4 linked regions of the Drosophila melanogaster genome follow. The gene in region 3 interacts genetically with the main gene of each other region. Each region holds a gene or a part of one and is shown on either strand. Other genes may lie near its edges. The genes, in order: fog, Dif, krz and mthl1.

Region 1 (5,231 bases), on a different chromosome or scaffold from region 3:
TTCATCGCTCTAACGGCGAATATGTATTACCTTATTAGCATGGGCTACCCAAACTCAGGTTCAACAGGTGAATAACTAACTGAATGAATGCCATGGAATGGGCAAATGATGACGAAACCAGATAAGTAAATACTGCAATTGCACGACTTCTGGACCAGAACTTATGTAAAAGAGATGGTTAGATAGTAGCATAGCATAGCATATGCCATTGTTTTCCATTTCGGATAGCTTTTCGTCGGTGTAGTTACAATATATTATACGAGTATGTATGTACATACGGGTTTTCCTGTCCTTCTGCTCCATACATCCATACATTTCTAGTCCGTATGACTCAACTTTTTACAAGCACTCTTTTACGCCAAATGTACATATGTATTGTATTTAGTACTTCCAGGTACGAACTTTTTCGGAACTTCTTACATCAGCATTAGCCGATTTCTTGGAATCCCCTTGAAAGCATTGTACAGAATGGGAATAGGATAGATTCCAGAAATTCCAGAACAAATAATCCCCAAGTTTTTCGTGTAAGTGGAGGTCGTATATTGCCATCGGTTTTTGGTTTTCGGCTTTTGGGCCCTCAGGCACGTACTGCCCTATGGATCGACCGTTTAATGCTGTTTGCCCCGATGCAGCTGAATCAATTTTACCACGGCTGCATAGCCATGGGCACAAGGGACTCAAGAGCCTCGAAAATAATTTCGTGATAGATTCGTTTTTTTTTTCGGTTGCTGATTTCATTCCACGTTCCCGGGGGGGTATCAACATAGGCATAAATATATGTATGTCCGGAAGACAATAGCTGTATAGATAATTTGAATCGGATAATTATTTTAGGAGTTATGGCTGAGTGACGGCTATCTGATAGTCGAGGCAATCGAAGCGAACTCTATCTATATAGTATTCATACATATGTATGTATACGTACCATCACAATACCCGTAATTTAATTTTCGTGCCGTCTGTAACACTTTCTATTGCTGATAATGACTTTTGGAGCATTTTGCGGGCGTTTTGGAACTTGCACAAAAAACATTTTGTAATTCATGTCTGCGCAAAAACAAATAAAAGAACGAGTCCACGGAAAAATTTACTAAATACACACATAAATATGGCCATTTTTCTCAGTGTGCATGTCAACAATTTCCCAGTCACTTGAGTGCTTGGCCACCCTTCCAGCTCTTTATTTTTTGGACAGTCGGTTAAATGCAATTAACTTGGTTACACTTTCATGCGGGAATAAAATTTTGGTACCGAAATTCGTTCATGGTTTGCTTTTAGTTTTCCATTTTAAGCCGCAATATATTTTGCGTCCAGCGGAAGTGATCACTTTGCCACATTGGCGCTGATAGTCACCGCGTGACTTCATCGGCATTATCATCATCATGTCCATTACCAGCGAACTCATGGAACTCACCTCTGTAAACATAATCGTGAACTCACTTGTTTGGCAAATGTTTGAGAGCGAACCCCGATAAGACACCTAATGCGCCTCGAATTGGTGTAGTTCGATTGTTTTGGTTGCATGATGACACTAAGGTCAGTTGTCATCCATTGTGGTCACGTCGTGAAATTGGTTTTTGCAATAACTAGTAAGGCGCTTGACCAGATTGAGAAATGTGCACGTGTCTATTGTTGTTCAAGAAGTGATTAAAAATGCTTTTAATATTTATCAGTTCGCTTTTAGGGAAACTATACCTACTCGTCAGTCAATGGCATGAGCCCAAACATATTCATGCTGAATCCATTTGGACGCGTAATAGCTACTTCGAAAAGCATTAGACTAAATACCTCCCGATTTGGTCATTTAAGATCTCAAGAGCCAGCTCTGTATCTGCAGAATGGCTAGATTTCCCACATCCGCAGAGTCAGAAGGTCAGCATCGGGCGTGAGACCGGAAAAACCGCTAGGATAAGCCCACGAAAACGAGACATCCTGATACCCAGGAAATAATGAAGCAGGATAATAAGGAGTACCAGAAACGAGATACTGTGGGTTTCGAATCTGTTATCCAAATTTTCTGGGCTGTATACATTTCGCTGGCTTCCTTTCAATTTAATTTGCATTAAGAAACAAGTTTCGCAGCGCAAAGTAATAATGGGTTATTCGATGGGCATTATAAAACACACATAAACGTTAAATAAAAATACATACAATCCACTTACTTTTGCTGTTTTATATCCCAAAACAAAGATGCCGAAGAAGGTGCGCTGCTTTTGCTTTTAGTTGCTTCTTCTTTGTCTTTTCCCCACTTTTGTTTTTCTTTGATTGTGGGTTAATATCAAGTTGTTGTAAAAATAAATTAGCATACAAATAAATAATAAACACCACAAATTGGCTCGTTTTGAATTTCGATTTGATGGCGGTTGAGCTTAATTTTTTGTTTGGTTTATTAAGAATTTTATATGTATGTGTTGATTGGCTTGCTGGTAAGAGCCAGTTCAAACTTGTAAGATACTAAATTTTTTTCAGTTGCTTAAAGTTTTCCCGTCGCTGGCTGCCTTTCATTTTTCGCTGCAGTTGTTAGGCTCATTAGGACAACACGGTTTTGTATTCGATTTTGTTGATTTATCTATTTTATTTCTCCAACTGTATCACATGTATTATCATATAATTCACAAAGACTTTTGCGCACACGAAAAAAAAACACACTACAACAAATCGACTTCAAAAGGTATCAATGGTAACATCCTGTTTGGGAAAAACGAAAGAGAATTATTTTGTATGCAACATTGAGTGCAATTCAAAAATAATGCCTACATGTGCACCGAAAATAGCTTAAGATTGTGAAATATTGTAGATATTTAATATATATCATTGTGAAATAACGTTAACTAAATATTTATAACTCAAAGCTAAGCTTCAAATTATGGTTGGTACTAGTATTTTAAAGTTGATCTCGGGTTTTTCAGTAGGCGAATCTATATGTACGGCGCACATATATTTTTAAGATTATAAATTATCGGACGCCTGTTGCTGTAAAGACAACAACAAGTACAACGACAACTGTTTCACAATGTAGTATAAACACAAAAGCGTAGTATATTTATACATGCCTCGTAGTATGTATTTTATTTTATTCTACTTTATTTTCACTTCGTTCGTTCTCTCTTTCCTGTTTCCTTTTACAGATAAGCATTCGAATGTTTTTTTGTTTTGTTTTAGTTTAGGTTCTTGTTCAAATTCAAATTAAAATCGGGTCAAATTTAGATAAAATAAAAGCACACGAAGAAACGTTTTTAAGGGACACAATCAGAAGATATTTATGTATATTACAAATTTATATTCCCATGTTACTATTTGCTTTTAAGTTATATGCGCCACGTTTTGACCGATTGCACATGTCTCTTAAATATCGAATTTATGTTACAAATTCAATCGAAATGATAGTGTTACTTTACTTTTTTCATTTGCTACTATTGTTGGTGATTTTTATCCGCTTTCTTCCCCCCTCATTTCTTTTAAGTTTTTTTTTTTGAAGAGACTGTAGCGGGCGGACAAGAGAACACGCACCGTTACCGATCACGTTCACAGTTGTTTTTTGAATGAGAAGCGGCTTCGAAACGTGTCGTCGCAGGCGTCGACGTCGGCGCCGCAGTCGCTGCGACAGACAGAGAGTGGTCAGATATAAATATACATGTACTGTATATATGTATATGTACGCGCGTTCGACAATGATCTTAGCCGAGAGAAAAGAGCCGATGCGCGGCATTAGGGAACTCTTTTCAAAGAGCGCGCTGAAGCCGCGCTCAGTTTTCATTGCTCTTAAGTTGCAACTGCACAAAGAAATCATTTTGCTGTTTTGATCGTGCATTGTTTTGAGTATGTATGTCATTAATTTAAAACAAGAGAGAACGCTATAGTCGAGTTCCCCGACTATCAGATACCCGTTATTCAGCAAGTCCAAGTGGGACGAGACTTTTCAACATTTTTCACGAACATTAGTAGAAATTGGTGGGAAAAAATTAATTTTAATTCTCTAAGGTCTGGGCAGGATATATTGGGCGGTTTAAGATAGCATATCTTCGGCATATCTATAAATTGGAAAAACAACTGGTTTAATACAAAAAAATTAAATCATTTCTCAAAAGTGTGGGAGTGTCAGTTTTGGTGCATTAGAGTGGGAATTTTTATCATATCGATAAAAATTAACAAGAGTCATAGAAATATGGAAAACTATCAAAACATTATGCAAAGGTGTGAGCGTGGCAGTTTTGGGAGGTTTGTGGGCGTGGCATCATGGGGAACAAACTTTCGCTGCGTCTAATGTCTCTAGAATCTAGCTTTTATATTTTCTGATATCTCGACGTTCATACGGACGGACAGACAGACGGACATGACCAGTTCGACTGGTCCTGATTGATCCTGATCACGATACATATATACACATGTACATATACAAGTACATGTACATATACATATACATATATGGTTGAAAACGCTTCCTTCTCCCTGTTACATTCTTTTTAACGAATCTAGTATACCCTTTTACTCTTCTCGACAATTCTCTTTTCTTTTTTGTTTTTCCCATACATGATTAACATTTTCTTCTGTTATGTTCTCTTGTTCTCAATTAGGGAGATGCTCTCTTTTGGCCGCCTGCAAAGGATGATTAATGATGTTCTCTGCTTTTAATTTTTTCTGAATGCTGCTAGTTGTTCAATTTAAAAAGGCAGTACGGCTCTTCCTGGTAATTTTCCGTTGGCTGTTTGTTTCTATTTACATATGTACTATGTATGTATGTATGTACCTTATTAAATAAAATTTTTATTTTCAATTTTGTCCGAGTTCGGTAGACCCCTACAGACACTACTAACATTCGGAAATATGTAAGGCTAACTGGAGTGGCCGGCTTAATAAAAATATCTCGGAAAAGCTGGAAAGTCGGAGATGGATTTCCTCGAAACCTAATTGAAGTTGATAGCAGTCATGGTTTTGTTCCCCGTCATCATCATTGGGCACTGAATCGCAAATCGCACTTCTTGGTAATTTTAGCCGCCACTTGAGCCTGTGCCGGTGTTTAGGCCAACATAATGGCCAATTAAGGCCACTTTGTCGTTTACAGCGTTTCAATTTCGATTTGATTAAGGTGAATTCCCTTTATTTTTTATGCAGTGATTCCGGCTAAAATTCATGAATAAAAGCAATTTTATGTAGATGATATAGATCATTACTTTAAAAAATAAATTTACAGAGTTAGCTTAGGGAACTAAAAATGACCACAACTAAACTAA
Region 2 (5,231 bases), on a different chromosome or scaffold from region 3:
CCATTTGCAGTCAAAAGTTAAATTGTACAGCCAATCGATTTTCATTGCCTTTCAAGCAAATCAAAGGAAACATTTTTGCAGTCAAGTAAATAATGCCCGAGCACCCCAAAAACATTCCCAGAATGCCGAGCCAGACCACATCGCACCAGACCTCATTTACCCAAGCGTTGGAGCCATTTCCATTCTAATGGCCAAGACAAATCGTTCGTACGTACATTCGCTTTCAGCCAAGAAAAACGACCGACACGCGATGGCCGAAAATTGGAGGAAACCGCAGCATTTAATTATTTTGCTATAAAACTTTTCACGATTCAATCAATTCAGATTCGGTACAACATGGCGTATGCGTAATGGGATTCAGCTATATTTTTCCCCGCATTGTTTGTAAAATTGTGTGGTGGCGTGAATTGTTTGTAGAACTTGGGCTTTGGTTGGCGATGTAAATGTGAATGACAGATCATTTTAAAGTTTAGTTGGTTTTTGTTCATGCGGAAAATGAAAAGAAATATATATAAGGTATAGTACTCAATCTCACGCCGGGTTATCAGGGAGACTAGAATATAAAGCCCCGCTGGGATTTTCTTCTTGCTGATTAAAGTTCAAGTCTTATCAGTTAATTGAAATAAGTTCAAAGCAATTGCATTTGCTCTCTTGGGTTTTCCGAAAAAGTGTACAAGTATTCAATAAACTGATCAAGCTGAATTGACTCTTGAAAACAAACATAATTAGTATAAGTTTGTTATATTATTTTACAGTAAAAATAGTTTTGAATCGATTACTGGTGGGTGAAAATACTATAGCTTACATGAAGCTTCTCATTGTGTATTCTTTAAATTTTAATTTAAATTTTAATTTAAAGAATAAGTAATTCAAAGGTTTCTGATAATTCTTAGCAACATATATTTAACCAGCTCTATCCAGAGTTCATCGTTTTGACCGTTTCTCAATTGTTTACCAATTAGACTTGCACCCTACACACAAATGTGTGTACAGGCTGTGACCTTCCTTCTCCCGCTGGCATTTAATTTACAATAACTTTCAATTCGGAAACAAGTCTGCTTAATACAATTGGCAAAGTTATAGCTAGACTGCGACTTTATACTGTATGTAAGCAATCGCACACACATGGACCAAAAGGTGTGAAAAGTGCGGACTTTGTTTGTGTTTTATTTTCTACAATTACCGAAAACAATTCCGCTGCCGTTGGCATCATCGGTTCATCGCCCAATACAAGTTAGATAGCTGCTGGCTGGGAGCAGATAAATCGATATTTGAGTAAGTTTTGACCATGACTGTTCCATTTCATTCTATTTTTATGGATTCCGAAACGGCCAAATGGCCGAATGTTTTGCGTGCGGATAAGGCAAAAGTCTTAAAGACTTTATGCCATTTCGTGTCTTTCGATTGCAGTTTCAGTTCCACGGTTCAGGTTGTATATTCCTTTGATTACAAATGAAATAAACGAAATCTTCCAGATGCCACCGCAAATTTTTATAAACTTTTGCCGTGCCGATTTCAGTTGTAAAAATATTTACATTTTGTTAATATAAATATTTGCATTTGCTTCGATTTTTTTTTTTTTGACCATTGAATTCCTCTTCTTTTTGGCTCCTCTTGAGCAGATTTTCTTTCACATTTGGAAAGTTATTTAAAGACTAACTGAGTAGCTATATTCTTCCAATTTTTTATATCAACGCCTAAATTATTTCCAATACAACAGCTTGAAATGTGAAAACGTCACAAACAGCTTTGGCACTATAATTTTGAGATAAGAGTTATAATGTTTATAATTGCATACATTATTGCTCTTGGGAGGAAATGTCTACTCTAGGGTGCAGTTCCGGCATATGTTATGTGCAAATGTACAAATCTGAACCAGTATGTTAATGATTTTTCGTAGTCGACCAATAAAACAAGAAAGAAACACTGGGACTACTAGTAAATGTCGTACTGAGTGTTATTCTCTTTTAATAAATCGCAGTCAACCGCCTTTCTTGTTTTCATTTGCATATATTATACGCCTGTTGGGTTGCAAAACTGCAGTTACACTAGCAGAAATATATATTTGCTGATAAGCAAAAACATACCATATTTTAATAAATATTTACGAAGTATTGCACAAAGTCTATATTTAATGTATTGATATAGCTATGCCTATAATCTTTCGGGTGTTTAGGTTCAAATCAAACAGGAAGTAGATTAAAGAAGTCACAAAAATATTTAAAATATTTCCCGCATGGACAAAAAAAACAAAATAAAAATAATACACTAAAAATTAAAATTTTTTGTCGTTTTTTTTTGCGATTACGCAGTCTAGTGAACCCGGCCGTATTCCCGTTTTTCACTTCACTATTAATAAATACAAATTTCATTACACGTGGCATTAGATAAGTAATTGCCCGCATCGGAAAATTGTGTACTTATTTATGTATCTGGGATTAAAATTTATGAATTCCGCCGAGTTGCTGGCACGTAGTTTTTTGCAGTGCCATTGCAATCGAACCTGACACGGGAAGCTGTCTGTACCTAAGTTTCTAAAGCCGCCTTCTGGACCGGGGACTTTACAAACTACGCCTTAAGCTAGCTAGCTGACTATAGTTTCAGAAAATTTATTATAGCTAACCTTTTATGGTGTAGTAGGTAGGCTGCTTTAAATGCTTGATTAAATTTGGATTCTCGATCCGAATGCACTGGGTCAGACAGAAATCGAATTAGCTCTTTGTTGTGTTGACACGTGTAATTGATTAAATTTGTCTTTTATGATTGACTGGTTTTCGGTTTATGTGTCGGACTTATCGCGCGCGACTCACAAAAGGCGCGCCAAAAAAATTATGAAGAAATTGAAAACAAAAACAAAAGTTGCTCCCACAAGCGACGTTGTTGCTCCGCTCATGTATTTTACTTTTGAGTTTTGTTTAATTTTTGCTATTGACACTGCAGCCGCCTGTTTAGAGCGGACATTGATTTATACACACATCTGTAGTTTACGTTGTAGTTGTCGTGCTTCGTATAATTAACCAATACACTGGCAGCTATATAGTCGCGTGCGACTTGCACAATATGCGTTATATGTACATCTATATGTATATATATATGTATGGATATCTATGTGTGAACAAGTCGGCGCTTCACGTCCGTCGGCGGCCAAGTTCAGATTGAAACTGAGCGGTTCGCTTCACACTCGGCTGCAAGAGAGCTTCGGAATGGCTTCGATAGCTCAGGCTCCATTCTCAGCTGTTCGCTCTCTGCGATCGCATGCATTCGGTTCGTATACTTGATACGTATACGTGATACGTATACGTGATAAAAAGTTACCGCTGCTGATATGATGGTTGCTGATCGCAACTGACGGAGGGTGCCAATATCTGTTTTTATTTTCGAAACTGCTTCACTTTTCCTTTATTTATTTTCATTTCCGTTGTGCGTACTCAATGTTTCGTTCTCTCTAATGTATTTGTGTTCAAGTGCGTTCCTATGACGCCATCGAGCAGAAAAAATGGTTATAGATTTTTAAGTGGATTTGGAAAAGTGTTGAGATTTTTATAACGCTCTGCAGGTGTTCCAATTTCGATTTTCGGCTATAAGTAAACATTGATTCCCTTACAAAAAAATGTGTACTTTTTGCTGGGAATGAAAATTTATTGTTATGAATGGTTTGGAAATATCATAAAAATTCAAAATACCTAAGATGTTATTTCACATGAACTCTTTTCTCATTAAAAATTCGTTTAAAATAGTGCACAGGTTTCTGGACAAATCAAGATCAAAGGTTTATTATAAGATCAGATAGGAGGAAAAGTTTTTCTTTATGTGAATCATTCGCCATTCTGGAATGAGAAGCCGAAAAAAATCGACAACTATTAGCCAGATGCATAACAATAGATCTATTTATCTAATATAGGTATGACAGCTGAATGTTTTTATTGATTTTCCCAGGAATTGACAGACCTGAAACGAGTTCGACCCTCGGCAAATGTAAATTATAAAATCCATACAACGTTGCTAATTCACGCCAACAAAATTCCCAAATGAGACCGAAAAAAGATTCGCCAACGTCTAAGGTCGAACTGAGTTATTAACTCAATTTTTGGCTTCTGTTCCATAGACAGATTTTAGTCATTGAAATAAACACAAGTGCAGACCAAACACGTAGGGGAAAAATATTTGCAGTTAACATTGCCAATCGGGTGGAAATATTTCATTATTGTTGTGCATGAATGAAAATAGTATAATTTATTTCTGCTAGCCCACGAAAATTTCGAACTAAAAACACAGTTTTCATGTAGCGTGGGCTCGTCTGCGGACAAAATGCATTTTGGGAGCAAATTTCCCGGCCGCAATTTACATCTATATAGGATTGCAACAAAGCCAAGAATACCTCAGGACGTGCAAAAATAAACTAAACTATTTCAGCTCTGGGGTTTGAGAAATTTTAAGTTAGGAAAACAGATATTTATTTATTTAGCAATTTATTGAGCAAATATGAATATTTAGATATAGATGAAAATATAGTACGACAATTTGTATAACTTTTTGAACATGTTATTATCAAATTTACAATTGTAATCCACACTTTTATTCTATTATTTTAAAATTTCTTGCTCTTTATGGCTAGGGATCACTGTAGAAGGATTTTAGTTGCGATTGTGCTTTTAGCCATACATGTATGACAAATGCCCCATGACGTAGTAGCCACTTTCAGTAAACATATCAGACGTCACAGAAATCTCCAACTCTTTATTAAGCTCCCCGAAGAAGAAGAGAAGAAAAAAAGGGGGAGAAGTCAAAGACTCTACCCCCGCCCAAACAACTCCCCCTGCAATTCTGGCACATTTGCGCTTCAAGGTCACGCGCGTGAGCGGGAACGAGAGGGAGAGAGAGAGCGAGGAAGAGAGAATGCAGAAAAACAAAGCCAAGCCCCAAAGAAATCGTGGAAGGGGGTGGAAGGGGGCGAAGGGGGCTTGACGGCGGAGCGCATAGTTGAGCAACCACTTGTTGTTGCTGCCGCTTTTATTGCTCCTCTTCAGCCAGCGCCAGTTTAAGGCCACCAAATATGCACTGGGAGAAACAAATAGCACATACATCTTAACAAAAAACACTTAAAGATTATAGATTTCTGGATATTAAATGGCCTATTGAATTAAGTGACAAATAATATCTAAAGTGGATTTTGTTGCATTTGTTGGTTTAGTATTTTATTAAAATATTAATTTTAACATTTTCTTTAAAGG
Region 3 (8,408 bases):
GTAATTGTATACTAGACACTGAAGTCATGGACAACTTAAACCGTAAATGGTATGGCCCTATAACTTTTTAAATAAGGTTAAGGCAATTAAGCCGAAAATATTTATAAAACTATTAAATCATAAAAAACCTGGTAGGAATTTTAGGCTTAAGAGTCGGCACGGATAACGGTTAAAATTTGCTTAGGCGTTACTAGAATCCACATGTAAGCCCCAAATCTGTAGCTCCTAAAGTTAACTTTTAACAGACAGACAGGACTTAAGGGTCAAACAAATCTGGTAGGACCATTGACTTTACGAGTAACGGGTATAGTAATGATATTTGGAATTTTAAAATACGTTGGCAATTTCAATGCAAATGCATTAGTTATTTATGGTTTCGTTCGCATAAGGCTCGTATGTAAAATGTTAATTATTTGATGGACACGTTGGAGGGTAGGGATTATCATGGCATGAGAATTTATATTGATATTATTTTCTAAAATAAAAATTAAAGTTTTTATAAGGATTTCGGCTACCATGTATTATTGTGGTATATACAATGCATTGTTAATTATACAATATTAAAGCTTTTCAAACATAGTCTTTTCCAAAAGTCCACTCTTTTTTCCTCTCTTATGGAGCTCCAACGTGTCAGTCAAAAATGTTCTTTCTCCATATTTCTTTGCATCCTTTTTTCAACACTAAACATACAACATTCAATCTTTCACTTTCGTTTATATTTTTTATACATTAGTCATGAGTAGGTAGGTATTGTATTTCATATTCTGTTTGGTTCGCTCGCTTGATGCGTTGGCTACGGTGGCAAATATTTAGTCGCCTAGTTGTATACACACAATAAACCAAATATTTATCAAATTGAATACAACGCATATCCAGACCAAAACGTTTTTTAGAAAATAAAAGTGACATATTTTTAATATTTCTTGCGCCAGCTTTAAAAGGTTTTATCACCTTAACCCGCTACCCATATATATATATATATATTCTATTTATTGTGCAGGCTATGAAAGGTTTCATCCACTTAAATTGCAACACATATACATATATATGCTATTTTTTAAAAGGTATTATCAAAACCATTACAACTTATCTTAAAAGTTATCTTAGCTTCTTAAAAATCACACCATTTTAACAAATAAGAACATGTAACTCACAGTACAAAAGTGATGTTGCTCATATTGCAGTTGGACCCGTTGAACACGATAATATCGCTAGACCGATAGTTTCTGCGATTTCTGCAATATCTGCTTTGATTTATTATCTTTATTGGAAACTAACTGTAAATTGTTATTTTTAATTCTTAAATAGTTTGGTAAATCATTTGATAATAATTCTACTATGACTAAAGCAAGACGACTCTTTTAAAAAATCAACGATTTGTGTTAAAAAGTTGTTGTGCTCGTTCTAAAATGTATTTGTTCAGGTGGTTCAACTGCAGAAAAGATCATTACAACTCTTCAAGTGCTCATTCGGTTTGGGGCACAAGCTTACATATATTATTTGCTTTTTAAATGCTTCACACTTGAAGTTATGCCCTAATTTTTTCTTTATAAATTTATAATACTCACACACCTCTGCTGTTCTCATTTCAATTTATGCCTTTTAATATTAATTGCTCCAACATTTTTGAATTTGTTGTATTATATTTGTATACATTTAACAAGTTTGTGATGCGCTTAATATTAATTTATTATTATTCATAATTTCTCCAATATTGTTCACTTTAAAAATAAAAGTACGAACCTATACATCAAGCTAATACTAATTTCACATTTACACGTCCTATAAAAAAATAAAATTATTAAAATGTTTTAAATTTTGACAGTATTAGCATTTCCTAAAGCAATAAAATTTAATTTCAGCTCAAGTTCGCAATTTAAAAGCCCCAATTTCAATCATTCGTATTTTTAAAGTGCTTTATAAAAGAAATCATATTTCGTCATCTCTTGTTTGGTTTACATTTGGAAATGTTCTGATCACGTTTTTAATTTGTATCTCTAAATAAGTTTTACGAATGCATTACTCGTGTAGTATTTTTCGTTGGCGAATTTCGATTCGGACATTGTTAATTAAAGTAAGAAAGAAATTGGTGTTCAACGTAAAAATTTCCCACACGAAAGGTATTTCCCAAAGGTGTTTGAAAATTGTCTATGTTAGCTATTTCCGCCTGTGAAGGTCCACTTCATGTAAGCTTTAGCCAAAGCGGTTTTATCAGCAAAGAGCTGGAGTTTTTAATCCAAATCCACCATTAGTTAATTGCTTTGTTGTCGTTTAAATTATTTGTTTTAATTTTTTGTGGAGAAAATTAAAAGTGGCTTAACTGGGTCTAAGACCACATTTCGCCATTACACTTTCAATTACAAGAGAGAACGGTATAGTTGATATACCAGAGTATCATTTTCTCGTTCCCAAACTAGTGATAGAGCTATAAAGAAATTTCAAACCTTTTAAAAAACTGTCTACGTGTGAGTAGTCATGGCAATCTTCTGTAACAAATGGCCATGACAGCGTTTATACAGACAGACGGAAATGGTCAGATCGACTTGGTTGGGTATCCTAACAAATAATAAATGTACCTTATAGGGTCGGACTCGCTTCTAGGGTTACAAAGTTTGTAATGAATCAAGAATGCCGTCTTAAATTAAATTAAATTTGTGCTAAAATTAAATTTAAAAACTATTTTAAAGCTTTTTCAAGAATAGTTTTTTTGCATGCACGACTTTAATGACAAATAACAAATCATTGTTTCAAGGTATGGGTATGGATATTTCTAATATTATTATTTTTTAGTAATAAATTTTGAAAACAAATTATTTTTGAAATATTGGAAGAATATTTATAAAACAACATCCAAACCTCAAGCCATCCTAAAACATTTCTTTTTAATTGCAGAAAAGAAATCTAGAAACATTTTTAGTAACGTACTCTACTCAAAAAACTTATTTTAAATTAGTTGCGAACAAATTATCAATGCATTGCAAAGCAATAACAATGTCCCAAAAAGAAGAGGCATAATAAAAAGATCATTAGAATTTGTAAATGAATTTTTGTTTTATGCGTTTTTATAATGGGAGAGGGCATTTAATAAAAAATATTATACAACATTTACATATCAAATTTTGTGAATTCTTTCAACTTTTACAGGTGTGGCCGAAATACTTCGCTCGTGTAGTTAACTTATGCGTGGGCATTTTGTGTAGATCTGGTGTGTTGACTGGTTTATCAATTTCACATTTTAAAATTCGTACACTTTCAGCTTAAACCCTATAGATACTACAATATATGGCCTACACATATAAAATAGCTTAAATCCAACTGTTTACCATGGCTATTGGTATAAAACTTTACATTTAGAGGTTGCCCAATTTTCTCATACTTTTTATATTATACAAATGCCGAAAATAATAGTAGTATTTTCTTCATATGAATTAATAGTTCGATCTATTCCTTTTTCATCTAGGCCTCTGTTTCAGCGCCTTTTAGACGCAGACGGGCAAAGTCCTCAAAAATTATGTCGTCATCTTGTGCCTCGTCGTCGTCCAGCTGAATGAGATTTGTTGTCGTTGGCACATCCTGCCCGCCAGTAGCCGATTCAGTTTCTCCGTCACTCATGCTCACTAACGGCAGACCCCCGCCTGCTAAACTAGCCCGTGGCGATCGCTCCCCTAACAGTGGATGCTCTTCCTCCTCGGGCTTAGGGTGCATTAGTGTGAATGGCAGCTCAGCTACGAGGTCACCATTTAGAAGTGGCGAGCTAATCAGCAACTTCACCTTCACCTTATAGTGGACCATAATACCGAGACTCTCACGCTGAGCAGGATTGGTAATGAGAGTGCTAGACGCCAAATTGGTGTCCTCATGCTTTAGCTGCCCGTCCAAAGCAAGGCCCCATTTATCCTTATTATTTGCCAATAGGGGGCACAACTCAAATACCTTCGAGAGTGTAAATCCCGGAGCCACTTGACATCCGTCTTCTGACTCGATTTCTGCCACTACAGATTTATATTGCGCCGTCGAAAAGAGACAAATATCCGCAAACTGCCGGACACATACCTTAATCTTTTTTACCGTCCGATTTGAGTTGTTGGCCACATGAACGTTGACCGATATTTTTTCGCCGTGGTGGTATAACTCCTTGTCCAAAGTAGCTTCCAAATGGATCTTGTTTGGCTTCATCATAAACTCCTTGCTTACTTCGATCGATGGCTGCTCACCGACTTTGGATGGTGCGTACATGACTTTGCGAATAGTTAGTCGCACCGAGTTCCGCTTGTGGGGTTTGTCCTCCACGTTCTCACCTATTAGTGATAAACATTATGAATAATGGCATCAATGTATGTATGTTTGTTGAAGAAAACCCATGACGCTCGGGTGTGTCAGTAGTCCGATTCGTTACAAAATTTGTCGTTGATGTTGAGTCTATCATGTATAGAATTCCACGATGTTTAATCACAAGCCGACAATTACTGGCATTTACATATGGATATATATATATATATATATATATATATATATTATTCATATATATGCATATACATTCATTTAATTGATCATCAATAGCATTGCTTTAAAAATACGCATAAATATATATAATTGGTTATCCCAAAAACATAAAAGCTAGGAACATTAGATACACAATTGAACAGACGCAAAGTAAATAAAAATGCTGACTCAATTGTCATGAGGGGAAGCAGAGAAGCACTGAGAAATCGTTTCTTCCAACTGTACAAATTCCAACATTGTTGTTTTTATTCTTAAATTGAATTTGGGCTTATATACAGAAAAAATAAATATTAAGTTCTTGTTATAAACTCTTTTACCCAACAACACGCCAATTGCTGCTATTTTATTAATCTCTGTTTATAACAGTAAACAATTTGGCTGCTGAATAATAATAAAATTCCAACAGAAACTATAAAAGCACAAAAATGTGTAAACAAAATAGGGCAATAGGTAATAATATTTATTGAACAGAGAATGTATTAAGGGGGTGCCACGGGCACATAATATATATGCGAGTGGAGCTCGGCGATCGTACGAAAATATGAAAAATTTAAAATTTACAGAAACCAAAAACCTTTCTACTAATAAAATAAAGCACAAATTCTTTAAACCTTTTTTTAATTATTAAATACAGATTAGAAACTAAACAAATAAACATTTTGAAACTATGTAAGATCTTTGCTGTTGGCACACAAATCGTCAGACCGCCAACTGCGGCGCCTGGTTAAGGCGAACAACAGCATTAACTGCGCTGCAACTTCGGTTGATTCAAATTCCAATTAGAAGTGTCGAATTTCAATTAGGTGAACGCTGCGTCATCAGCCCGACGTAGTTGGATTGATTAACCCTGTGTTCCCAACCGCGTGATGCACGCGCTAACTTACACAAAACCACACATATAAGAAATTTACAGTCTAACTTCTATAGAAAAGAACAAAGCTAGTTTTGCTACTGTAACCATATTCTTAATAAATTATTTTATTCTCAGAAACAATAGTACCCGCAATTTAACTGCTCTAAGGTAAAAGAAAAATTTGTAAAGAAAAAAGAAAAATTTGTAAATTTGTAAATTTAATGTATTGCAACATATATAATAAACACGGTATGTGCCACACTGCGAAATATCAATGATTTTGACTTTGACTGACCACCGTATACGGACACACCCACAAGATCAGACCCACAAAGACTCACCCACAAAGGCCTTCAGCTCGTAGTCTACTCCGCAAGACTTGCCCACATCTCCAGGAGCCGGCTGCAAGGACACAGAGGCTGGGCAATAGGGCGGAACCTCAAAATAAAACGGATGGGCGTTCGGCCCCAGCTTTTTAATTAACCTTTCCTGAAGCCGGGTCATCGGGCGGTCCAGCTGCATGGGCGGATAGATCTGCTCATGCGCCAGATACAGGTCCTTACGGAACGTTAATCCCAAAACATCTAGGTCTTCACGTCCGTACCGAAAGGCGGCAAGCACCTGGCCAAAAACCTTACGGTCCTTTACGTACTCTGGATCAATGAAGACAACACCGTCAATGGGATCCACGTGCGTGACATGGTCGACGAAGTCCCGTTTGCCAAGGTAAACTGTTATCTTGCCGTTGGAGGAGCTCTTCTTAAACACCCGAGTCGCCTGGCGTCTGGAGCTGGCATCTCCACCAGTCTCGTCGCCTGCGCTTCCGCCCCCAGTGCTCCCGGCAGCTGTTACATTGGTGCTGGAGCCATTGCTCACATTTGCTCCTCCACTTCCTCCACCACCACCGTTCATTATGTTATTTGGCGGTTATGCTTGTTATTCTGCTTTTCTGCTGTTCCTGCTTAATTGGAACTCCGTTAAATAAATATATGTGTGCGTTGCGGGACTTGTGCTGCAATTTAATTTTTTATGTGTATACTTGTTCCGCCATTTACCAGCACTGCTTGACAGTCATTGGAAAAATACCAGGGAATATTACATACTAACAAATTATGTACTTCTCTGGTATTTCAATTCAGTGCGAACAAACCGATATATGTTTGGTCGTACCATAATCGCAGCCTATAATTAATATTTATTTTGCATTTTTGGCACCTATTTATATTTCCTAAGTGTGCCCTGGCCCATAGTAAGTGACTTTTAATAATTTTTCTTTCAATACCATTAACAATTGCTTGAATTAACATTAAGTTTCCTACTAAGATAAAATGCAACTGCAGGTTGACTTGGCTTTTTAATGAAATATAATATATATATTATAAATTCCTTTAGAAACAGATGATTCATAGCTGATGATTGAGGAAACTTACCATTTGGAATGTATAAACACATGTAAAATCAGACCGTTGGTAAATATCTAATCATAGATTGTATCCTAAGTCTTAAATAAATACTTTATATAAACTGTTTAATATTTATTTTATTTTTTAAAGGCTTTTATTATTTTTATATGTATACATGTGCATGAACGGACTTTAAACCATATTTAGTAGTGGAATAGAGCTATAAAAATGAGATTGAAGTCTCTAAAATACTTTATTTAATCAGCCTTAGCACCGATAGAGCACAACGGTCACACTGTTCTGTCCCTCTTTTCCACGTGCATTTTATTGAACGAAACCACGCGTTGTTCAGTCCAAACTTGACTTTGCTAATTTTGCCCAGAAAACCTCTAAAAGCTGTCAAAATGGCCCAAAAGAAAGCCGTCACCGTCAAAGGAAAAAAAGCTACGAATGGAGAGGAAAAGCCTTTGGCCAAACGGGTAACCAAGTCCACAAAGGTACAGGAAGAGGAGACAGTAGTCCCCCAATCGCCTTCCAAAAAATCCAGAAAACAGCCTGTTAAAGAAGTGCCGCAGTTCAGTGAAGAGGACGAGTCTGATGTGGAGGAGCAAAATGACGAGCAGCCAGGGGACGACAGCGACTTTGAGGTAAGCTATAAAAAAAACGTGGTCTTCTGAATGGATATGGCTAACATTACATGCATAGTATGCACGTATATATAGATCTGCATGGATAAGAATCCATTTTACGTTTTCTTTGCCACGTGGTTGTAAAGATTTTATAATTATAAGACGAGTGCACATAACCCACGATCCTCTGGTTTTATACCGACTCGGTTCATATATCGATAAAAAAAAAATTGTCTTTATTGGTGCTCTCCCATCAGCGGTTATAAGAAAATTGTCTACTTTTCAGACCGAAGAGGCAGCGGGCTTAATTGACGACGAGGCTGAGGAAGATGAAGAGTACAATAGTGACGATGAGGAAGATGATGATGACGATGAGTTGGAGCCTGGTGAGGTTTCCAAAAGTGAAGGCGCGGATGAGGTAGATGAATCCGATGATGATGAAGAAGCGCCTGTAGAGAAGCCAGTTTCCAAGAAATCAGAAAAAGCCAACTCTGAAAAGTCCGAAGAAAATAGAGGAATTCCAAAAGTAAAGGTTGGCAAGATTCCGCTGGGAACGCCAAAAAACCAGATCGTTTTTGTCACAAACCTACCAAACGGTAAAGTAACTGGTTTATTATTTCATTTTTCAAGTATATTTAAACTTAGTATATTTGTTCCACATAGAGTATCTCCACAAGGACTTGGTCGCATTGTTCGCCAAGTTCGGACGACTTTCCGCTTTGCAGCGTTTCACTAATTTGAATGGCAATAAATCAGTTCTCATTGCCTTTGATACGTCAACTGGAGCAGAAGCTGTTCTGCAGGCTAAGCCTAAAGCGTTAACCCTTGGAGACAATGTTTTGTCTGTGTCCCAACCGAGAAATAAGGAAGAGAACAACGAACGCACGGTGGTGGTTGGCCTGATTGGACCTAATATTACCAAGGACGACTTAAAAACCTTTTTTGAGAAGGTAGCTCCCGTGGAGGCGGTGACTATATCCAGTAACCGCCTCATGCCCAGAGCTTTTGTACGTTTGGCGT
Region 4 (6,824 bases), on a different chromosome or scaffold from region 3:
CACAGTTTTAAGCCGACTGACTGCCCCTTTTTTTTTTAGTCTGATTACGAGTGTTGCGTGTGCCAGCCACAATTTCAGATTTCCACAATTTCAGATTTCAGATTTCATGTTTCTGTTTTCGGTTTTCAGCTTTTCAGGGGCCAGGCCATTTAACTCGGTTGCGCAATCTCATCGAATGGGCCCATGGGCCAAAAACCCACTGTTTGTTTTGTTTTCTCTTTCGTTTGGGCAAAACCTCTGATTCCAACACGGACCTACACACAAGCGAATGGCAGACAGACAGCACATCTGTTCACCCGGACAGACACGCATCCCAAAAAGTATGACGCGATCAGGGCCCAAAAAAAAAAATAAAAAATAAAAGTAAAAAGTAACAAACAATAAAACGCGAGGGCAAAGAATTAACTGCCACCAGCAGCTGTCATATTCGAAAATGTTACAAACTGAAGTAATTACACATTTTCCATACGCCTTTGTGCAATGCAAACCAATGTTTCTTGGGCTCTAATAACAAAAACATGGCCTAAACAAAGCAGCATTTGTTGTTAATATAGAGAAACAGAAACTTCATTGATTAGTTTCTTTCATTAATGTTGCTATCAACATGCAGTGCATACAAAAAAAAAGTTTTTTTTTATTGTTAAATCCTTATCTTTTCATTGGAACATTAAGCCACCAGTTTAATGCTAGATTTCAAGTTGCCCTGTTTTTTTTTTAGTGCCCGAAAATGGAATTATTGTTTTTCAAAACTTTATGATCGCCGCACAGAGGTTTCTTTTTAGATAATTGTAGATTGTGCCGAGTTCGAGACCTGTCCGCATGTTTGCCATTGGATCATTTGGGAGATGTGTCAAAACCACTCGAGGCGACCAAACTAACAAACTAACAAACTAACAAAGTAACAAGTAAATAAGTAAATGGGCCGAAATCCAAACAAGACGATGGTGTGTTGTGTGCTTATCACCATCACCATCGCCATCGTCGCCGGTGAGTCCAATTTAAACTCGATTTTCCCTTACGGATTCGGCAACACACATTTTTTGAATCCAACCGATACGGATGCCAGCAACGATTTCCATTATCTTCGCTTGCGTGTGTGTCAAGGGTTGCGCTGATTACTTTATGGCCATGTGGAAATGTGGAAATCGACAGGAAATTCAAAAATCGAATTCGCCCGGCCCGGCGTCAGAGTTTTCCGATGAAAAACATAACGGCACACAGCGGCAACATTTTCATCTTTATGACCATACTCGAACTCAAGTGGTGCACGCGAAATCGTAAACTTGGCGCATGTTGTTAAACAATTTCGGTCATGCAAATGAAGAATATGGTCACTATTTGACCATCGCAGGACGATCTTCTTATCCTACGTAAATACGTAAATTTCCCCCTATAAAACCATAAAACGAAACGAAAACGTGCTAGACTTTTTCAACCGGCGCCTGGTTGGAAAAACGCTCCAGGTAGCCGCAAGTTGTCAGGAAATCTCGAACCCTTAAATTTCATCTGGATAGCGTATAGTCCACATGGGGGGTGTGAGATGAATAGTGTCCTATAGAGAAGGGTATTTTCCAACATGGCCATTGACCGTTGAAACTCCAAAGGTTTTGAATTGAAAAGTTCGTATCGTTTTCCCCCATAGAAAACCAAACTAGTTTCTTTTGTTTTTTATCTTCATATGGTGGTGGTTGGTTCTCGAAAGTTGTCGGCGCATGACAAATTCGGGGTTTCCTATTTGTTTTCACATTTTGTGAATACCTCATTGGTATTTGGGTTAAATCCACAGACAGCGCAATTATCACACTATCTTCTACGACACATATATCGTCCGGACATTTTTGGTTATATACCGGAAAATTCAGCTAATGTGTCAATTCAATTTACACGGATTCTAAATCATTTTCGAGTTAATTTAAGACCCTCTATTTAGCACGCTATTTTTGAAAGACTAAAACTTAATAAGAAACTTAGGTTCTTGGGTCCAAATACCAAACCTTCCACCGATTGAAGTCTATTGAAGCTAAAGCTGCTTAGTGATATTGAAGTGGCCCCACCTGTACATACGTGCGCTTTATAGGATCGAAACTGCTGCGATGCATGGCGTAACCGGCGAGCAAACAGCCAGCCAGCCAGCCAGCCAGCTCATTGAGATACTTTGCATTCCCGGCTGGGCCCTAAAGCCCATTAAGGCCGATAAGTCTATCAGCAAGTGTGTGTGTGTGTGTGTGTGTGCTTAAAGCCGCGTTTTGTAAGCCACTTGGCAAACTGCGCTGGGAGTGGGAACAGCAGGCGCTTTGTTTGCGCGCTGGCAAACAGAGCTATCTCTTTACAAGCACACTTCATTGGCTATCGGGTGTTCAACTTACGTTTAGCAAATGGTCTCCATTTTGACGATGGGTGCGACGGGGGCAATGGGAGCCTTCTCCGGTACCTCATCCTCCGCCGGATTGCTGGGCATGTGAGTGGCGGTCGTGTTGGTTGTCGTGGTGGTGGTGGTGGTGTTCTGTGTAATCTCCGTGCCGCCGGCCATCGAGGGCAAACCCTGCGAGCTGCTCGAATGCTGGACACCGTTGGTCGTATTGGTGATGTCATGACGCAATCGCGGACAGAAGATCCTGCGGCAGGCGGTCCACACCTGCGGCTGGCAGCCCACCACGATGAAGATGAAGACGCCTTGCAGGGCGTTGATCAGGTCGGTGAAGAACCATACGCCATGCGGTCCACCCACTAGCCAGGACAGAATGTCCGCTATCCAGGTGACACCCATAACGACGACTAGCTTCAGGCAGACGCGTCCCAGGGCGGACTTCTCCGATGAGGACTTGACATCGTCCCGTTTCCACAGGCCGCACGTCAACTGATGGGTGGTGGACACGAAGAGCGCTATATTGGCGCACAGCAGCAGGCCAATGGGTCCGTAGAAGTAGGCGAAGATCGAGAGATTGCGATTGTCGAACCAGCAGTAGAGCTGTCCGAATCCCGGACGCAGTAGCGTCGTCTCCGGCAGCTGGTCCACGCAGGCGGCCACGAAGGTGATAAGCAGAGGACCGCCCCAAGCGTACAGGGAGTACAGATAGCGACGCAGTGCCTCCTGATTGCGTTCCAACGAACTGGGCCGAAAGTCCCGGAACGTCCACCAGATGTTGAAGCACATGGTGTTCAGCCAAAAGAAGGCGGCCAGAAAGAAGAACTGCATGGTGATAGCAAGCGTATGGCAGGCGGCACTGCCCGGCTGCAGGCTGGAGCTCAGCTCCTCGATGGCCAGCAGTATTTTGCCGAATAGCAAGCAGGTGACATAGCAGATTTGGCAGCGCCAATGAAGCGCATGATGCACAGCGGGCAGCAGGAAGCCGGCCACCAAAGTGGCGGACAGGAAGACAATGGACACAAGTATGCCACCAGTCAGGACGGCCTTCTGCAGATTCTGGCCATTGGCCTGCTCGATGGTGCCTCCAATGGAGCCGTCGTGGATGCCGGCTCCTGCCGCGGAGCTAAACAAATGCTGGCAGGCTATGATCTTCACCTCGCCCTCGCGCTGCGTGTGCTCCAGGCAGTATTGTCCGGCGCTGAGGTTCTTGTGCGGCAACTGGAGCATGGCCGTGTTCCGATCCAGCTTGGCATCCTGCCAATCACCGGCAATGGAGTAGCCACCGGGTTGGCCACAGTCGGGCAGGCCGTAGCTAGTCTGATAGCTGCCCTCCGGTAGCTGCGGCGACAATCGCAGCAGTCCATCGACGGCTGCCTGATGGTTGGGCTGCAGATCGCAGTTCTGGAGCTGCGTGTTATAGCTGCCCCACTTGCCGCAGCACTTGCTCAGTCGCAGGCTAGCCTTGGGCGGCTCCTGCTGCACGAGAGGATTGGCTGCATAATCGGGATCCTCCAGAGCATTGATCGGCTGACTGTCGTTCAAGCAAACGACGGCCACCTCCCAGTCGACACAGTAATCCGACGGCTGGACCATTAGAGCGCGTTCCCGCACATAGAGCGTGCCATTGGGAAAGAGCATCACATTGGCTCCGCGGCTGCGAAAGATCTCCGTCGTCTGGTCCTTTCGGCACGTGGGTCTCGTATTGGGCAGGAACTTCAAGAATCGCGGACTGGCGCCATGGGGCTCGAAGAAGCGCTGCTGCTGCACCAAGTACACCATGGGCAGCCACAGGGCTTCGCTGCCGGCGATGCAGGTGCCATCGTTCAGATACTCGCCCGAATGGCAGCACTTGTTGAGCTTCACGGTGGGCGGCGGCGATGGACGTGGCGGGGCGGCCGGTGGTGGCGACATCTCCTCGATGGCCAAACTCATCGACACAAGCGTCTGCAGCAGGATGACGGTCGTCAGTAGGCCACATGGCCTGATGAACTGGTTGCTGCTGGCAGCTCTGCTACTCCGACTCCTGTCCATCGTTAGCTCACTCGTCAAGATCTGTGTGGATTTCAGGTTCTCTTGTCTCTTGGCCTCAATTTGCAATTTATGTGGCTATGTACTACACATAGCTTTAGCTATGCTGTTTTTCTTTTGATTTTGCGTTCCGTTTCGCTTCGTCGAATAGCACTTTTCACTTTTCCTCTCTTTCGTTGGCAAATGGAAAATCAGAAAATGCTGAATTTCACCGCCGCAAGTTGGGCAAACAAACACCGAAAATCGTTAAGTAAACAACACACGCTGCGCTGCGTTCGATTTCGAATGCATTCCAATATAAAATAGAGTTGTCAGCGAATCATGTATTTATCACAATATCACATTCTTATCGTTGCGTTTTCATTGCGTGCTTGTGCGCCAAGGCTTTTCAGTCAGTCTCCGTTTTCAGTCGTAAACACGGCGCGCGGTGTGTAAAAAAAAATATATGCACGATTTGCGCTCCGATTTTAACGCGCATCAGACTTTTCCTCGCGTTTTTTTCGAAATACTATCGTCGATCAGGGGGGCGGGGATTTTATACGGGTGCCTGGGCGAGTGTGACCCTGTGCGATGCCGAAATACCTGTAGCCGGGGTCACACTGCAGCGCAGATCTGCGCTAACCACAAAATAGCCTTTTCACACGGCCGCTACAAGTCGCGTTGATGCGGTATGTTCGCACTGCCTGAAGTAGGGAGGCATATATAAAAAAAATGTCAGCTTCTCTTTCAAGAATCGATTTCAGCAAACAAAATTGGTTAAATAAACTAAGGATTAATGTTTTTTTTTATTTATACTAACCGTTAATAAAAAGTGTGAAAGATCGTTTATGCGGATGCGACGTCTGTTTAAATAAATCGTTTTGCCATTAATAGAATACTGTCATTTACCACTCCTTGTATATATGTTTTTATATTGCGATTTAGAAGGATTATTCCTATGTTATTTGCTATTTGAAAATTTCATTTATGTGAGCACTTAAAAGCCAGCGAATTTGGCGGAAAAATATTTTTCCCGCCCGAAAGTGTGACCAGTTGGTAGAGTGACCAAGACGATAGTATAGCTCCAATCAATAGTGACATCTCTAGCTTGCGGTCCGCGTTTTTACTTAATTTTCCCATTTTGCGCAAATTAAACCATCAAAATGTCGAAGGCCCATCCCCCAGAGGTGAAAAAGTAAGTGCAACCCATGTGGGAAAAAGATAGCGCTCCATAAATGCAATTAACAATACAACTTGCAGATACATGGACAAGCGCATGATGCTGAAACTGAACGGCGGACGCGCGGTGACCGGTATTTTGCGAGGCTTCGATCCCTTCATGAACGTGGTCCTGGACGACACGGTGGAGGAGTGCAAGGACAACACGAAGAACAACATCGGCATGGTGGTAAGATGCGCAGCATACCCTGCCATAAACTATCGACTCACTCGTTTTTCCCACCTGGCCAGGTTATCCGCGGCAACAGCATCGTCATGGTGGAGGCCCTGGACAGGGTCTAGCACCCGCCTCGGAACCCGATCTCGTCGAGCATCGTTAGCCGTAGTGCTTAGTCTTAAGGCTCCGTAACATTCATAGTCAGAAGAAACACACAAACTCTTGAATAAATTCTATAACAAAGATACCCCTTTTTGAACTGACAATTTATATGAGCAGTTTGGAAAATAAGTCGAAAATATTTAATAATATTGCGTACTTTGTGGATTTACTGCATTGGGAACTTGAGTCGGAAGATTGCCACTTTAAATGACGTCGCCAAGACTAGCAAATGTATTTTCCAAGAAATGCAAACACAGATAGCTTTACACATAATTGGTTTCCAAATCAATTTTTGTGCCTTTGATTTTATACAAATGCTTGGCTTCTTGATTTCTTTGTTAATTTAACTTATTTTCGGCTATTAGTGCCTTACTTGTTGAAAGATTTTGGCCATCTCCTTTTGAATTTGTATAACAATGTTCGATCGACAAAATAAAAGGCTACGTCTTTTTAGTCTTCAATCAATGCAAGAAGTTTACTTCAAGTATATCAGAAAGTTCTTTATCCGCAGATTTTATTTGTCGAAATGGAATAGAAAACAAGACACAATATATATTGAAGCAAGGCAGCTCCACCATTTCACCAAAAAGGGAATGATTTAAATCTAAAGATTAACCTTACCAAGTCCGCATGACTAAATTTCAATGAACTATGCTGTCGCACATGAGCAGTGTGTATAGATATAAAATGTTTATTTCTGCAAGGCAAGCAACCACTTAGCACATGGATTGTTAATGAAACTATGCACCTTCTAAGGGCAGAATACCAAACTGATACTGATAGTTTAGCAATAGAAGGAAAGCCATTAACAATGTGAAGGCTCGGTAAAAGTATAAATTGGCTAGTTAATTACGCCAAATGTAGCTGTTGTCCACATTGTTCTTCGCACAT

Evidence for each region.
Region 1: of krz (region 3) and fog, changing one suppresses a phenotype caused by changing the other (phenotypic suppression), as found in Drosophila melanogaster (one study listed by BioGRID).
Region 2: of krz (region 3) and Dif, changing one suppresses a phenotype caused by changing the other (phenotypic suppression), as found in Drosophila melanogaster (one study listed by BioGRID).
Region 4: of krz (region 3) and mthl1, changing one suppresses a phenotype caused by changing the other (phenotypic suppression), as found in Drosophila melanogaster (one study listed by BioGRID).

The regions. Positions count from the first base shown.
Region 1 is NC_004354.4:22,851,645-22,856,875, forward strand, and holds the start of fog (folded gastrulation), read right to left. Parts: upstream 3,551-5,231; 5' UTR 3,399-3,550; exon of another isoform or gene 2,163-3,398; intron 1-2,162. UniProt on the Drosophila melanogaster protein: Coordinates cell shape changes during formation of the ventral furrow and invagination of the posterior midgut primordium, by inducing apical constriction of cells in spatially and temporally defined manners.
Region 2 is NT_033779.5:17,425,033-17,430,263, forward strand, and holds the start of Dif (Dorsal-related immunity factor), read right to left. Parts: upstream 3,168-5,231; 5' UTR 2,624-3,167; intron 1-2,623.
Region 3 is NT_033777.3:32,045,572-32,053,979, forward strand, and holds the start of krz (kurtz), read right to left. Parts: upstream 6,423-8,408; 5' UTR 6,269-6,422; coding exon 5,698-6,268; intron 4,299-5,697; coding exon 3,457-4,298; 3' UTR 1-3,456. Other genes in the region: mod (modulo), read left to right, coding at 7,164-7,406, 7,675-7,984, 8,052-8,408.
Region 4 is NC_004354.4:16,639,052-16,645,875, reverse strand, and holds the start of mthl1 (methuselah-like 1), read right to left. Parts: upstream 4,909-6,824; 5' UTR 4,400-4,908; coding exon 2,369-4,399; 3' UTR 2,367-2,368; intron 10-2,366; exon of another isoform or gene 1-9. Other genes in the region: SNRPG (small nuclear ribonucleoprotein G), read left to right, coding at 5,539-5,570, 5,636-5,783, 5,846-5,896.